4 linked regions of the Saccharomyces cerevisiae S288C genome follow. The protein of the gene in region 1 purifies or fractionates together with the protein of each later gene. This does not show direct contact. Each region holds a gene or a part of one and is shown on either strand. Other genes may lie near its edges. The genes, in order: RPL10, STM1, NMD3 and RQC1.

Evidence for each region.
Region 2: the proteins of RPL10 (region 1) and STM1 purify together in Saccharomyces cerevisiae (affinity purification with mass spectrometry; 2 studies listed by BioGRID). This does not show direct contact.
Region 3: the proteins of RPL10 (region 1) and NMD3 purify together in Saccharomyces cerevisiae (affinity purification with western blotting; 4 studies listed by BioGRID, with this or other methods). This does not show direct contact.
Region 4: the proteins of RPL10 (region 1) and RQC1 purify together in Saccharomyces cerevisiae (affinity purification with mass spectrometry; 3 studies listed by BioGRID). This does not show direct contact.

The regions. Positions count from the first base shown.
Region 1 is NC_001144.5:280,716-284,583, forward strand, and holds RPL10 (60S ribosomal protein uL16 RPL10), read left to right. Parts: upstream 1-2,211; coding exon 2,212-2,877; downstream 2,878-3,868. Other genes in the region: LAM6 (Lam6p), read left to right, coding at 1-228; RFU1 (Rfu1p), read right to left, coding at 304-906; BUD20 (Bud20p), read right to left, coding at 1,241-1,741; FMP25 (Fmp25p), read left to right, coding at 3,157-3,868.
Region 2 is NC_001144.5:438,488-442,263, reverse strand, and holds STM1 (Stm1p), read right to left. Parts: upstream 1,798-3,776; coding exon 976-1,797; downstream 1-975. Other genes in the region: PCD1 (8-oxo-dGTP diphosphatase), read left to right, coding at 1-549; GID11 (Gid11p), read left to right, coding at 2,441-3,776. UniProt on the Saccharomyces cerevisiae protein: Ribosome preservation factor that protect a small pool of nontranslating, vacant ribosomes in cells under nutrient starvation conditions.
Region 3 is NC_001140.6:442,042-446,640, forward strand, and holds NMD3 (ribosome-binding protein NMD3), read left to right. Parts: upstream 1-1,786; coding exon 1,787-3,343; downstream 3,344-4,599. Other genes in the region: ATP-dependent RNA helicase DBP8, read left to right, coding at 140-1,435; ATG7 (Atg7p), read left to right, coding at 3,672-4,599. UniProt on the Saccharomyces cerevisiae protein: Acts as an adapter for the XPO1/CRM1-mediated export of the 60S ribosomal subunit. Unlikely to play a significant role in nonsense-mediated mRNA decay (NMD).
Region 4 is NC_001136.10:1,131,992-1,137,018, forward strand, and holds RQC1 (Rqc1p), read right to left. Parts: upstream 3,441-5,027; coding exon 1,269-3,440; downstream 1-1,268. Other genes in the region: IRC3 (double-stranded DNA-dependent ATPase), read left to right, coding at 1-1,079; chromatin-remodeling protein SWR1, read left to right, coding at 3,941-5,027. UniProt on the Saccharomyces cerevisiae protein: Component of the ribosome quality control complex (RQC), a ribosome-associated complex that mediates ubiquitination and extraction of incompletely synthesized nascent chains for proteasomal degradation.

The sequences.
Region 1 (3,868 bases):
GCGGAAATCTCAGAAATAGGCAGCGACAGATGGAGGTTTAACTGGGTGAACATAATAATCTTGGTGCTCTTGGTGTTAAATCTGCTGTATTTAATGAAGTTGAACAAGAAGATGGATAAGCTGACGAACCTCATGACCCACAAGGACGAAGTTGTAGCGCACGCGACTCTATTGGACATACCAGCCAAAGTACAATGGTCAAGACCAAGAAGGGGAGACGTGTTGTAACAGAGTAATCATGTAATATTGTATGTAAGGTTATGTATGTTCGTATGGTATGGAAAAAAAAAAAAAAAAAGGATGCTATGTGGAGAATGTAAGGCGTGGTAGCTCCGGATAATTCAGTCTGTAGGCTTCATCACGGGCAGTGGCCTGACTCTGAGAGCTTGCTCCGGTATTAAGTTGTGCGTTTGAAATTTTCTGGAAAAAAGAAATTGATTGGTTGAAGCTATACTCGTCGAAAGATTTCTTCGGCAGTGGTTGTTGCTCCACCTGCACGGGAGTTGTGTTTGCGTTTATGTTCGGCTTGGCTATATTATTAGCGAGTGATGTTTGCAATTTGCTGTATTGAGAATCAATTTGGGTGCGTAAGCTTTCAATAATTTTGCAGACCGCAGGCACTTCCAACTTTATGAGTTGCAGGTATTCTCTTTTATGAATATACGATGACGACGATGACGACGACGCATCCATGCGCAAAAGCTCAGGGTGTCTAGATAGTTTGTTAGTCAATAAATCCACATATCTAAAATAATAAATAAACGACAGCGACAAGTCGTTGGCCTGGAACGCACACTGTGCCTTTTCCAATATGCCGATGCATGTTTTCAGGTAAATTCTCAATGGTATCGCCGGATTGAAGCGATAATCCTTAGCGTCCTGAACCAATTGCTTACTAGACTTCATGACCTACCGGGGCCAGATAAAGATGCGGAAGGAAGAGAAAAAATGTATAGTGGTTGGTGAACCGCAACAATAATTCGTGCCAACACTTTAATCGAAGCAAAAATTGTCTTGTATGTTATTAATATTATCTATCTAACCATTGATTTACGTATAAAACTGTCGATGCTCATCGCCTAGCAATGAAAAAATTTTTTCTTTTTTTTTTCATTATTTCTCTTTGTTGCGTACTTTTTTTCATTGCGTTTCGCGGCAAAAGCGATTCGAGTTGACTGGAAGTGTGTTATACTATAAAAAGTGTATATGCCTATTTTTGGTTCTGATCTTTACTTTACTGTTAAGTACTGGCTGAGGCAGTAGACTCTGCCTCTGTTACGGCAGCGGTATTCGCCTCGGCATCAGCAGCCGCCCACGGTAGAGTAGGTTCTGTTGTTTTGACGTTTGCCAAGGTACTGTCCAAATGCTCCTTCAGCAAGGCCTCATTACTTTCCTTCTCCGGACCCACCGATTGCGTGATCTCCTGTACACGGTTCAAGAACTTGTTCAAATTGTAGCCCGCAGCAGCATCAGAGACTTCTTGTGTGTAAGGGACACCCCTCAACTCCTTGACTCTTCTTTTGTGCACTTTGCCCTTTAAATGCGTTTTTAACGCTATAGCAGTCTCCATGTATTTGGCACAGTGTATGCAATAGTGCTGACCAAGGCCCGGTTTGGTTTCATCCAATGGCTGGTTCAGAAGCTTCTGTACTGATTCCTTGGTGGACAAATCGTTATAGATCAGGTCCAAGTCTCGTGTTCTTCTTTTAGTCTTGTATCTCTTCACCGAATATCTACCCATGATGCGCTATTGTTTTATCTTCACTTGTCTGTGTGTTTAACTGCCTTTCAATTCACCTCATCTCATCTCCCGCTACTTTCCATATATAAAAGCAAAATTAATTTGCTTTTTCCCCTGTCAGTATAAAAAAATTTTCCGCAGGATATAGAAAAAAAAGAAATGAAATTATAGTAGCGGTTATTTCCGTGGGGTGCTTTTTTACACCTGTACATCTTTTCCCTCCGTACATTTTTTTTATTTTTTTTTTTGGTTTTTTTTTTTCGATATTTTTCCCTCCGAAACTAGTTAGCACAATAATGCTGACTAAGGAAACTTTTCATCTCAGAATTGATGGTCAGTTTGGTTTCTCTAGAGAATAGTTTATAAAAAGATGTTGATGTGGAGCAACCATTTATACATCCTTTCCGCAAGTGCTTTTGGAGTGGGACTTTCAAACTTTAAAGTACAGTATATCAAATAACTAATTCAAGATGGCTAGAAGACCAGCTAGATGTTACAGATACCAAAAGAACAAGCCTTACCCAAAGTCTAGATACAACAGAGCTGTTCCAGACTCCAAGATCAGAATCTACGATTTGGGTAAGAAGAAGGCTACCGTCGATGAATTCCCATTGTGTGTCCATTTGGTTTCCAACGAATTGGAACAATTGTCTTCTGAAGCTTTGGAAGCTGCTCGTATCTGTGCCAACAAGTACATGACTACTGTCTCCGGTAGAGATGCTTTCCACTTAAGAGTCAGAGTCCATCCTTTCCATGTCTTGAGAATCAACAAGATGTTGTCTTGTGCCGGTGCGGATAGATTGCAACAAGGTATGAGAGGTGCTTGGGGTAAGCCACACGGTTTGGCCGCTCGTGTCGACATTGGTCAAATTATCTTCTCTGTCAGAACCAAGGACAGCAACAAGGATGTTGTCGTTGAAGGTTTGAGAAGAGCCAGATACAAGTTCCCAGGTCAACAAAAGATTATTTTGTCTAAGAAGTGGGGTTTCACCAACTTGGACAGACCAGAATACTTGAAGAAGAGAGAAGCTGGTGAAGTCAAGGACGACGGTGCTTTCGTTAAGTTCTTGTCCAAGAAGGGTTCTTTGGAAAACAACATCAGAGAATTCCCAGAATACTTTGCTGCTCAAGCTTAAGTTCTTTTCAAACATTTGAACTAACTTAAAAGAGAAATTTTTTTGATTTAAATTCTAGTTTATTAAACAGTAAATATATTTATACATTATTGTAATACATATAATTATGTGTTTTTTTAAAGTTCAGCATGTTGGGTAGTGATATATCCTGAAGTCAATGGACACTGTTGCTTTTTGTATACCAGCAGGAAAAAAAAAAGCCTGAGCTGCAGTAACGAAGAATTGTTGAATGCGTCTAACAAGAAAGGGAGCAATCGATAACAGGGACGTGCGCCGCTAATGTCATTCAGATTATTCACGAGGACTTCTCAACGTCTCCCTCGCCTTAACTGGGTTAGTCCCATCAGGCGATACGCCAAACAACCTCAATACGATGAAGCAGAGTTGTTTGCAGAGAACATTAACCATGGCGCATATAAAGCAAAGAAAAGGCCATCAGACGAGCATTTCCAATGGCCTGAGAAGTCTCCTGATCAGATCACAAAGGAATCTGAACTCCAATGGGAAAGGATGGCGAAATTATCTGCTGTTGGGCAAGGGATCCTCATTCTCGTGGTAGTGGGTGGGTTGGGAACGGCCTACTTGCGTTGGCCAGAATTAAAATCCTGGTGGTTAATCAAGATGAATGGCGGTCGCATAAATGCAACGCAAGAGCAAAGTGGACAGGATTCGTTGGAAAAATTGATCAGACAAAAGGCCAAAAATCTATTAAGGGAGATTCCTCAAGTGCCTGCCTTTCAACTTGGAATAGATCATCCTGGTGTATACATATGGGGAAGGTGTCATTCTAAGGACTCATTGTTCCCTGTTAGAGTACCTAATTTGGATGGTCGTAAATTCAGAGATATCCTATTAGCTCCCTCTGACGATTTCAACACCAATTTTGCAATTGACGAGAAAGGCGATTTGATATCGTGGGATGATTTGGGACAAACAAAAACGATATTGCCAGATCAAGATTTGACCTCAATGAAGTATTCTAGTCACTTTT
Region 2 (3,776 bases), 160 kb from region 1:
CGTAAGTTTTTTGGTAAGCTGAACCCTGGAGAAACATCTTCTTTGTTTTCTGTACCACTCAATGACTTAGTTATACATCTTCTTCCTGAAGCCGATGAGGATGTTAAGAGTTATCAAGCAGAATATTTTGAGCGGAAGGAGTATAAGCTTAATTGGGGTGGAATAAAATGGTTGATTATGCATTATCATTTTCACGTAGCAAATAATAACGAAATGCCATGGTTGCAAACCATAGAGGATTTATCAAGTTCAGACGAAGACGGTGTTGATGGAGGTATTTTCAGATTCAGGGATTTGTGGGGACTCACATGTAAAATATTATTCGACGTTTCATGTATAGCTAATGGACTAATGGACGAAAAGTTAAAAGGAGAACTAGGGCACGAAGATTTGATAGTTGGACTACATGACTATGGTAATCAGATGCAACCGAACGGAAGAAGTGAATGGGAGATAGGAATGATCAACGGCGACAGAAACTTAAAATATAGCGATGTGATACCTGAATACTACATGAAGCACCTGCTGGAGTGCCGCTCGCTTTGGTAAAAAAAACTGTGGTATAATGCGTTGCCTAACAATACTCTCAAGAGATAATCAAGATGAGAGAAAAAGAATCATACTGGATGTCCTTAATCGATAACAAAAAGTTTTTAATGAAGAATGACTAATGATGAAATTGTTATACAAATACAAACAAACTACACGCTTGCACATCTCAGAAGTGAAAAAAAAAAAAAGAAAATTGAAAAGTAAATTAAAAGTCATTTATTTTTTATTGCTTAAATAAAACAAAATGATATGTCATATTCTCGATTGGATGTCAACCCAATTTTATTCTTTGGTTTGCCAGCATGATCATCTTCACTTGCAAATTATATAGTAAATAACCAATTAAAATAATAATAGTAATAGAAACAGAAAGTAGAACACTGTTATTGGATTCTTTCAGTTGGAATTATTCATATATAAGGCTTAAGCCAAAGATGGCAAGTTAGAAACGTCAATGTTACGGTTCTTTTGAACGGTGTTAGCAGAGTTAGTAGCGTTAGCAGTGTTGTTACCCTTTCTAGCGCCTCTACCACCACGACGGTTGTTGAAGTTGTTTCTGCTGTTGTTGTTTCTGTCACCGAAGTTCTTTCTAGTGTTAGATTCAACAAAAGTGGCATCAAATTCCAAGTACTCCTTGGTCTTCAATTGCTTAGATTTGACGTTCTTGACCTTGGTTGCTGGAACGTAAGCTTCCTTTTCAGCAGTTTCAATTCTTTCAGCGTCTAATTCAACCTTCTTAGCTTCTGGGACCTTGTTGAACTGGTTGTTAGCTTGTTGGTTCAAGTAGTCTTGCAAAGACAATTGAGCGGTCTTTGGCTTACCAGCGTCTTCAGCTTCTGCAGCGTCTTCAGCAATTTCAGCAGCAGCATCGGCTTGAGCTTCCTTTTCAGCACTCAATTCCTTCTTGTCATCACCCCAACCTTGGTTAACCTTCTTCTTGGTGTCAGTCTTACCAGTTCTAGAGTGGCGGTCAGTGGCCCTTCTGGTGTTGGACTTCTTGGTGGTGGCAGAGTCAGTGACATCCTTTGATCTGTTGTTTCTTCTACCAGCGGTCTTGTCTCTGATAGCACCCTCGTTACCAGAAGGTCTTGGTCTGTTCTTTCTAGCCTTGGATGGGTCAGCGGATGGAGGTGGGACGTCAGCCTTCTTGGAGGAAGTGTTGCTCTTGACGATTTCCTTTGGTGGCAAAACGACAACGTCAGCGTCTTCGACGTCGTTACCTAACAAATCAAATGGGTTGGACATTGAGAATAAAATGTGTATGCTTTCTTGGTTTATTTCTACTTCACCTCTAAAAGAATACTGTGGGGGGAAGAGAAATTTGCAAAGAAATAACTTCTAATTTAAAACTACGAAGCAGAAAAAAAAATCTTCCACAATAAACCAAGTATACAACTAAAACAAGCGAAGGAAGGAAGAAGAACAAAGGGGATATCGACTCAAAATCAAATATTACAAGGAAAATACCATATAATTTCTCTACTCAGTTAGGGCTTCCTCTACGCAACGATGATATCAAAATTGAAAAAAAAATTTCTTTTTGCGTTGGTGCGAACTTTTGGGAACACTTTCCATTCCAATAATTTCACTTTCCTTTATCTTTCTAAACGGTGATGTTACCCGTCTAAATAACAACATGGTAGCGCCATATGTTATACGGCTACAACTTTGTGTCACGTGACATTGAACGGCTTTAAAGCGGAGTATGATCTCTTTTCTGAGGCAATAAGGGGTGATGATCAGAAAGTGAGGAGGAGGAGACTCTGGATTAAAAGCCTATTACAACTTTATTCTAGTACAAAACTTTTGCTGATTAAGCAACGACAAGTAAGATCGAATAAAGTGGTAGAAAAACAGCAATAAGTTACAAAAGTATACGTGTTAAAGAATGACCATTGATGGCACGGGGCAATCTAAGGAGGCGCTGCAAGATGAACGGTTAAATACTGGCTCTGATAAGGTTTACCAAAACTATATGATGCCTGCTTTAGAACTCTACGATGCCAAGGTCTCCATAAACCATTGGCAGTTGCGGGATTGTATCAAACCAGGCTCCATGAACCAGAGTAAACTGTATTATATTTACGATCATTCGATAAGAGTACTAGATACGGATTCTTCCGTATTGAGGTCTCCAGTAAGGCGACATAATTCTATTCAACCGAGTAACAGTGGTAAAAACTCTACTGAAAAAACGTCTACAAAAGGTTCTAGGACAACGGGCTCGTATATCTCCAAAAATTTACATGTTCCTTCCGAGAAACTGGTAGAGTTCAACTTTAAGCCGAGATGTTTCACGGAATTAAATGGGTTGACTGTTTGTGGTGGTCTAATCGGTTCTGATGATAAGGGATTCCCTTCTAATTGGAACCGTTTAGCTCAAGATGCAAATATTTCGTTGCCGCCACCTTCCCAACCGATTAATATTTCCAAAAATATTAGTTTCCCTATAAATTCACATTATTCAAATCCTAATATCTGGAAGGGCATCGTGGAGTTTTATAATCAAGAAACGGACACAATGATGACTTTTACGTTGGGCCAGTTCATCAATAATTGTGTCACACTTTATGACAGGGCCAGTATGCAGTTTGATCTTTTTGCATGCAACAATGATGGTCATCTTTACCAATGCGATGTAAGTAATAGAGATGTAACACTAGTGAAGCGTTATGCGGATTTAAAATTTCCTTTGAATAACGCTTCTTTGTCACATGATGGTCAAACGATGGTAGTGTCTGGCGATTCTAATAAATTTGCTGTTTACAATCAAAATGAATTAACCAACCAATTCTCCTTACATTACGATAATCATCCTTCCTGGGGTAGTTCTGTCAATCGTGTTAGACGGATACCACGGTTTGCGTTACCTGATGAATCAGAATATATCGAAAACATATATGAAGCTCCAAATTCAGACCATGGGTTTTATAACTCTTTTTCCGAAAACGACTTGCAATTTGCGACGGTATTTCAAAATGGTACTTGCGCAATTTATGATATCAGAAACATGGCTACTCCCATGGCAGAAATTAGTTCGACTAGACCACATTCCCACAACGGTGCATTTAGAGTCTGTAGGTTCAGTTATGGCCTAGATGATTTATTATTCATTTCTGAACATCAGGGCAGAGTACACGTTGTAGATACAAGAAACTACGTTAACCACCAAGTTATTGTTATTCCTGATAAAGTTAATATGGAATATATAAACGAACGGAAGC
Region 3 (4,599 bases), on another chromosome or scaffold:
ACCTCATCGCGGATTGTAAATAGTAAATATAAACTGGCAATTTACTTAGTTTTTGAATAAATAATTGTATAGGAATATTATCAGTCGTATAATACAGACGCTTTAGATCTCCGTAGCATCATATCAGAAACTTTTCAAGATGGCAGACTTTAAATCTTTAGGTCTTTCAAAATGGCTTACGGAATCCTTAAGAGCTATGAAAATTACTCAGCCAACCGCTATCCAAAAGGCTTGTATTCCCAAAATCTTAGAAGGAAGAGATTGTATTGGTGGTGCCAAGACTGGTTCTGGTAAAACTATTGCATTTGCAGGGCCTATGCTGACTAAATGGTCCGAAGATCCGTCAGGGATGTTTGGAGTGGTCTTGACCCCAACCAGAGAGTTAGCCATGCAAATTGCCGAACAATTTACTGCACTTGGTAGCAGTATGAACATTCGCGTGTCAGTTATAGTTGGTGGTGAAAGCATCGTTCAGCAGGCATTGGATTTACAAAGGAAGCCGCACTTTATTATTGCCACGCCTGGACGTCTGGCACATCATATCATGAGCAGCGGAGATGATACCGTTGGAGGGCTAATGAGAGCTAAATATTTAGTTCTAGATGAAGCCGATATTTTGCTAACTAGCACGTTTGCCGATCATTTAGCAACATGTATAAGTGCTCTACCTCCCAAGGATAAGAGACAAACACTTCTATTCACTGCAACTATAACGGACCAAGTAAAGTCGTTACAAAATGCACCAGTGCAGAAAGGGAAACCCCCATTGTTCGCTTACCAAGTAGAAAGTGTAGATAATGTGGCTATTCCATCGACGTTGAAAATAGAGTATATCTTGGTTCCAGAACACGTCAAAGAAGCATATTTGTACCAATTATTAACATGCGAGGAATATGAGAATAAAACCGCTATAATATTTGTAAATAGAACAATGACCGCGGAGATCCTTAGAAGAACCCTGAAGCAGTTGGAAGTGAGGGTAGCGTCGTTGCACTCTCAAATGCCCCAACAGGAAAGAACAAATTCCTTACATAGATTTCGAGCTAACGCTGCAAGAATCCTCATCGCTACAGATGTAGCATCCAGAGGTTTGGATATCCCAACTGTTGAGCTTGTAGTGAATTACGATATACCTTCAGACCCAGATGTATTCATCCATAGATCTGGTCGTACGGCCCGTGCTGGCAGAATTGGTGACGCCATATCATTCGTTACCCAGCGAGATGTTTCTAGGATACAGGCCATTGAGGACCGTATCAACAAGAAGATGACAGAGACAAACAAGGTACACGATACCGCTGTAATAAGAAAAGCCTTGACCAAGGTAACCAAGGCGAAGAGGGAATCGCTGATGGCAATGCAAAAGGAAAACTTCGGTGAGAGAAAAAGACAGCAAAAGAAGAAGCAAAATGACGGGAAAAGTTTGCGCTCTTGAAAAATTCTAAATAAGATTTAAAGACGTACATATCGTACAATCTGGATACTGTTTTCCAGGACAACTGATAGATACAATTTTGGCACATATGAAGTATGTTTCTATATAACGGGTGAGAAAATCGCTGTAAATTCAATTACGTACAATCACCGACGGGTAACTTATTTTTTTTTCTTTTTCTCTTGTAGTTGGAAAATTTTTTGAAGCTCATCGCATTGGAAAAGAAAAATTACTAGCAGTTGTGATGATTTAACTATGTTTTGAGGAACCTTGGCTTTATCTTTTATTTGTCGCCTGGTACATAACACTACATTTTATTGTCTAATAAACGTTGAGGAATTTGACAAAAGGATGGAATTCACACCTATAGATCCGCACCAGCACCAAAATGCTGCTACTCTTCTATGTTGTAACTGTGGTACCCCAATCGATGGGTCCACTGGGCTGGTTATGTGTTATGACTGTATCAAACTGACTGTGGACATTACTCAAGGTATTCCAAGAGAAGCGAACATTTCATTTTGCAGAAACTGTGAAAGATTTTTGCAACCACCTGGACAATGGATCAGAGCAGAATTAGAATCTAGAGAATTACTGGCCATTTGTTTGCGTCGTTTGAAGGGCCTAACAAAAGTCAGATTAGTGGATGCTTCATTCATTTGGACAGAACCCCATTCTAGACGTATTAGAATTAAACTTACCGTGCAGGGAGAAGCCATGACAAATACTATTATTCAGCAAACTTTCGAAGTAGAATACATTGTTATTGCGATGCAATGTCCAGACTGTGCCAGATCCTACACTACAAATACTTGGAGGGCTACTGTCCAAATTAGACAAAAAGTGCCTCACAAGAGAACATTTTTGTTTTTGGAACAACTGATTTTGAAACATAATGCTCATGTGGATACCATTTCCATTAGTGAAGCTAAGGACGGGTTGGATTTCTTCTATGCGCAAAAAAACCACGCAGTTAAGATGATTGATTTTTTGAACGCTGTTGTTCCGATTAAACATAAAAAGTCTGAAGAACTTATTTCTCAAGATACACATACTGGTGCATCTACTTATAAATTTTCATATTCTGTCGAGATTGTTCCTATCTGTAAAGATGACTTGGTCGTTTTACCAAAAAAACTGGCTAAATCTATGGGTAACATTTCTCAATTTGTTCTATGTTCTAAGATTTCTAACACTGTCCAGTTTATGGATCCGACTACTTTGCAAACCGCGGATCTGTCACCATCTGTGTACTGGAGGGCTCCATTCAACGCCCTGGCTGATGTGACCCAGTTGGTGGAGTTCATTGTTCTGGACGTGGATTCTACAGGTATAAGCAGGGGAAATCGTGTCTTAGCTGACATTACTGTTGCTAGAACGTCTGACTTGGGTGTTAATGACCAAGTCTACTACGTCAGGTCTCATCTCGGTGGTATTTGCCATGCAGGTGATAGTGTTATGGGTTATTTCATTGCAAACTCGAATTACAACTCAGATCTTTTTGATGGGTTAAATATCGATTATGTGCCTGATGTAGTTCTTGTGAAGAAATTGTATCAAAGAAAGAGCAAAAAGAGCAGACACTGGAAGTTAAAGAGAATGGCTAAGGAACACAAAGATATCGATGCATCCTTAGATTACAATTCAAGAGCTCAAAAGCAAGAAATGGAACGTGCAGAAAAGGACTACGAATTATTCTTACAAGAATTAGAAGAGGATGCTGAATTAAGACAAAGTGTTAACCTATACAAAAACCGCGAAGCAAATGTACCTCCTGAAGAGCATGAAATGGATGAAGACGAGGATGAAGACGCTCCACAAATCAACATTGATGAATTATTGGACGAGTTAGATGAAATGACATTAGAAGATGGAGTCGAGAACACACCCGTTGAATCTCAGCAGTAAAAAAACACCAAAGAATGGAGAGTAGTATATACTCTTAACAAACACTAGCATTTCAGTTTATCTATATACATATATATGGATGTAAAATGTACTTTATGGAAGAACAAGCCACCACATGTTGAAAACTAGATAGGCAAGCAAGATTTTTCATTTGTAGAGCTCTTACGCAAGATTTTTAAACTTCCGCTTTTTTAATCCATGAGATTCCTTTGGACACCCTTTCCGGCACGGCAAAACAAAAAAATTAAGGGAACTCATTATTTTACGATGCTACTTAGATAACTAAAGTTCATTATATTTCAACAAATATAAGATAATCAAGAATAAAATGTCGTCAGAAAGGGTCTTAAGTTATGCACCAGCTTTTAAATCATTTCTGGATACATCTTTTTTCCAAGAATTATCGAGATTGAAACTCGATGTTCTGAAATTAGATTCAACATGCCAACCACTTACTGTGAATCTAGATTTACACAACATTCCTAAATCTGCTGATCAAGTTCCATTATTCTTAACAAATAGAAGCTTTGAAAAACACAATAATAAGCGTACTAATGAAGTGCCTTTACAGGGCAGTATTTTCAATTTTAATGTATTAGACGAGTTTAAGAATCTTGATAAGCAACTATTTTTACATCAAAGAGCATTGGAATGCTGGGAAGATGGAATAAAGGATATCAATAAGTGTGTTTCTTTTGTGATTATTAGTTTTGCTGACCTAAAAAAGTACAGGTTTTATTACTGGTTAGGTGTTCCCTGTTTTCAAAGACCCTCTTCAACAGTTTTACATGTGCGGCCAGAGCCGAGTTTAAAAGGGCTGTTCTCAAAGTGTCAAAAATGGTTTGATGTCAATTACTCAAAATGGGTGTGTATACTGGATGCAGACGATGAAATAGTAAATTATGACAAGTGTATTATTCGAAAAACTAAAGTTTTGGCGATAAGGGACACTAGTACGATGGAAAACGTCCCTTCTGCTCTAACCAAAAATTTTCTCAGCGTGTTGCAATACGATGTTCCTGACTTGATAGATTTCAAACTATTAATTATTAGACAGAACGAAGGTAGCTTTGCATTAAATGCTACATTTGCTTCTATTGACCCACAATCATCCTCAAGTAACCCAGATATGAAAGTTTCTGGATGGGAAAGGAATGTGCAAGGTAAGCTAGCACCACGTGTTGTTGATTTAAGTTCATTGTTAGATCCTTTAAAAATTGCTGACCAATCCGTGGATTTAAATTTGAAGCTAATGA
Region 4 (5,027 bases), on another chromosome or scaffold:
TACTCATGAACTGTGGAATATTCACAGAAGGAACGGACATGCCAAATATTGATTGTATACTACTGTGTAGGCCCACAAAATCGCGTTCACTTTTGATTCAAATGATTGGAAGAGGTTTACGGTTACACCATTCGAAAGACCACTGTCATATCATCGACTTCATTGGAGCTTCTAGTGTTGGAGTGGTTTCAGCGCCCACTCTACTGGGTATAAGGAGTGATGATATCGAATTTGATGATGCTACAGTTGAAGATTTAAAAGCAATCCAAGGAGAGATAATAGCTAAACAACAAAAAATCGACGAAAGGTTAAGGGCTTTATTTCAGACTGATGAAGCAGCAATGGAAAATGTAACTGAAAGAAATAGCGTTGCCGATTGGATTCACAGTGCAAATTCGGTTGATTTAACCTTGTGCTCCTTTGATAGTTTTAGGAATTTTACACAGAGCAATAACTCATATCCATCTGGCAAGGAGTTTGATGAAGCTTCTGAAGCTGTAAAAGAAATGGAGCTGTTGATGAACTCACAATATCCGTGGGTGAAATTTGCCTCAAATGCGTGGGGCCTCCCTTTAAAAGGTAAGAATCATTTGAGAATATACAAAGAAAAATCCGAAGACAAATTGTCGATGGTATATCATCTAAAAATGTATCGACAATTACCGTGTTTTATAACAAATAAATACGCGGACTATGTTCCAAAAAGTATAATAAAAGACGCTAATCTTTGGAATGTAATGTCAAAGGTGGAAAAAATCATAAATACTCTAAATTCGGACTTGGAAGGACAAACAATGCAATACCAGGCAATATCTAGTAAATACTCGAAATGGAGACAAACAGTTCCTACGTCAAAACAAAGAGACTTTGTTTTCAGAAAGCTAAAGAAAGTATATGGTGAGTCCTCAAAAGATTTTATTAGATTATCTTTGGATGATGTTACTACTTATGTAAATACTAAGATGACGAAAGGAGATGCTTCCAACTTAATCTTTGCCAGCAGTTTGGCACCTGTCTACCCGTTGAAATCATTGTTACGAATATTAGAATATCAAAAAAGAAGATCTTTTATAAAGTGAAATCCGTAGCTACATAAATGTGCATATATTAATATACAGTCACTAGTACATATGTAAACGTCGGACCACTCGTATATGCATTTTCTTTTGGATCACACCCTTTCTGAACTATGCAATGAATAACGTTAAATTCAAATAAGTGCTTTAGCCTTACTCTGCGTACTAGAAAATGAGCTGCAACATTTCTTATTAACCCTCATTTTCATTTGACTCTTCATTTTCATGAATGTACTGTTGCAAAGATATTTGTCTAATTTGATTCAACAGGTCCTCATCTTGCATTCTTTCTGCCTGAAGGACAGCTAAATCCTTTTCATTAATAAAGGTTTTGATGTTTTCAACCACTTCGATTGATTCTTTTGACGTAGGCATTGGTGGTAATACGTCAAACTCATATACTTCATTATCAGACCAGATAAATGATGGAATTGCAGCCATTACAGAAGACTCCTCAGATAGTATGGCGAATCTTAATAAGTTAATTGGGATTCCCGCAATAAAGAAAGGTGATTGCAAGTTGTTAATGTTATTGTGATCTTGCCCATCATTTGAATCGATTGTAACGTTTCCTCTATGGTAATCCTGTAAAATACTCGACATTTCATCATGCAAAAATGTTACCTCTTCGTTTCTATTCCAAAGTAACGGGAAGCGGGCCATATATGCCTTTAATTCCAAGTTTTCTGCCGAATGGCCATCAATGGATAAATCTTTAGTTAGCGCATGATCGCCCAAGAGTTTCTCCTTGAAAAGTTCTGACAGTTGTAAAGGATGATGCTTAAAGGCTTTTAGAAGCGCATTGCGGGCGGAACTCATCTCATTTATTCTTAGGAAGCTTAGTACTACCGCCAAGGAAAATCCTAAAGTATTCCACTGTTTATAACAGTTCATTAATGGAGAGTTGGATAATTCTATAATGTACTGATAGTCATTATTCAATAGAAAATAGTGATCGAGGAAATACCTGCATCCTAAAGGATCTTCCAATGGGCTCAGTGACCAGAGAACTTTTGTCCATTCACTAGCAGTTCCTATAACACCTCTTTGAGCAAGAGATTGGATGTATCTAAATATTGCCAAGTAAAACTGTCTGTTGAAGAAGTATATATAAGGTAGTTGACAATTCAAGGAATCGAAAATAATATTTGCTTTCAAAGCTCTATCAAAGACAAAGAGTGCTCTTTGTAACAATCCATTAGTGTTTGATCTATCACCTTGCCTAATAAATATCAAAGCAACTTGTAGCAGTCCAGGCACATGATACGGAAATTTAGAAGAAATCAAATTTATAAGGGCTTCATGATCAGGGTGAACAATAACACTTAAGTAGAAGTCCATCATTGATTTCTTGCTCAGGTCGGAATTTAAAGGTTCGAACTTATAAAAAGAAATGAATTTTTGCCACTGACTGACATCGTTTTGGATAACATCCTTCCAATCTAACGGCCTTTCCCATAATTGCCAATCTAAAAGATCATCAGAACTTAAAAGTTTCATAGAGAGCTCACCTCTTTGAGTTGGGATCCAATCATCTCTGATCTTGGTAAACTTCAAATGTTGCGGGTGCATTCCGGGGCCATTAGGTGCCAATCTATGATCTTTTCCGCCCCAGTTTCTAATTAATCTTTTCAGTCTCTGAATCTGTTTCAGCTGCTGAGGGGAGACAGGTGTGGATGTCATCGAATCAATATCTTCAAGAGACTCTGGAGATATATCGTCAAATAAAAGTTTGAATTCCGTATGGGGGTCCAATTTCTTGAAATCATTTTGAAAAAATTTGCAAGAATGCCTCAAACATGAAATGGGGAACTTTGTGAAGCCCGGATCACTTTCTAAGCTTAAAAATGACTTCCAAGGTTGGCTAGATGCTTCCTCTGGTTCAGATGCCGTGAAGAAACCTTCCTCATTAGTGTCATCATTTTTAGTCTTACCGTACTTCAATATATCAGTTTTTTTGAACTGTTGGATAATCTTGTCGAATTCTTCATCATCATCATCATCATCGGAACCCTTGTCTTTTGCAGCCTCGGCGGTATGGTTTTTTTGCTTCCTTTTTGCCTTTTTATTCTTTTTCCTTCTAGAAGACTTGGATGCTAGTGTAATTCTTTTAGGTTGACCATTACTTTGAGTATCACGCTCCCCAGCAGCAGCAGCTTCTTCATCCTGCTCAGACATTTGTCCTTCATCAGTGCTATTATCTGAATCACGTACGTTATTCATCATAGAGAAGATGTTCTCCCGTTTCTGAATATTACCGGCAGTACTTTTACCACTCGTCATTTTATTCGCATTTGAATTCGATAGCAGCGACTCTAGCAGAGCATTATCATCTTGTAATCTCCTTAATGCTCTAGAGCTCATGTTCGAGTACTTTACAAATATATTTAGATGATTCAACGACCTGTATGTTAACCTTCAACTGGTGGACTGTATGTACTACCTATGGACATTTTTCACTATACGTTGATGCAGTAGTGAACATATTGCTCGCATAATGTTACCCGTTTATACCTCTATACGATTATTAAGGGAGGGTAATACTTTCTCAATTTTTTTTTTTTCAGTTTTTAATATTATTTCCTTAAGATTTTTCGGTGGCGTTTCGCGACAACTTACGAGAAAAAAAAAAAAGAGGAGACTTGAAGAAAGAGTGCAAAGGGATAGCGGGATTCTAAAGTGTTTACGTGCAAAAAGGATAGATTTTGAGCTTTAAACTAGATAAGACCCAAAGCATTCGATTACTGCATTTGAGAGGTATTCAACAATACCATTTTAACTCTTAGAAAATATTTCCTTAAGCTGAAAATTTATGAATTCTAACTGCTCTTTGCATTTTCCAAGTTATTGCATTACAAGAATATATGACCACATCTCGTAAATCGCATGCGAAAGACAAAAAGGCTGGTGGTGAACAGGATCTGGCGGATTTGAAGTTTAGGTATGATCTTCTGACGAATGAACTGTTCCATTTAAGAGAGTTTGTTTCATTGGTAGATTATGATCCAACCCATTTTAATGATTCTGAAAGTTTTCAGAAGTTTCTCAGGGAAACACACTTGTCGTTAGAGGAGAGAGGAGAAAAATTCACTGATGACGTAGCCAAGAAAGGCACGAATGGTGATCTTACTCGCAGAAGGCGAAACCTCAGGACATCGACAGTTGTTAGTTCAGAAACGACTAATGAGAAAAAGGGTGATATAGAACTGAAGTTAGAAAGCATAGCACCATTAGTACGAAATAAATGTGAGGAGCTAAAATACAAACTAAGTGATCATTCAAATAGGAAATCTATAGTACCGCAAAAAAGACCAATACAACATTTGAAGAAGAGAGAAGCAGCGAAGTCCTTGAAGTTCAAAAGTGAAAGAAAGGAAAATCCACTGCCATTGCATGAACATATAGCTGAAGAGAGATATGATCACATCGCAAAAGTTGAAGAACCCTCTGAAGCCTTCACTATAAAGTGTCCTTCTGATGATAGCTCCTTTGAAAATACTAGTGAACATTATAGTGATAATTTTTATTTCACCACATCATCCGAAGAGGAAGATATAAAGAAAAAAAGAGGTAGAAAGAAAAAGAAGCCTAGAATAAAACTGGTAGTCCATCCTCCAAAGCAAACCATAACGAACCCGTTGCATGTAGTCAAGCCGGGATACGAAAGCTTGCACGAATACATCGCTTCCTTTAAGTCATTAGAAGACGATTTAACGCTGGAAGAATATAATAAATACATCGACGAACAAAGACGGCTTTTATCGAGACTCAAAAAAGGTATTGAAAATGGCGCATTGAAGTATGACAAAGAAACGGACTCACTACAACCTATAACATCCAAGGAAATCAAGACTATCATAACATATAAACCAGACCCGATTTCATATTTCTATAAACAACAAGATCTGCAAATCCATACCGATCACTTAATTAACCAAGGTATTCATATGA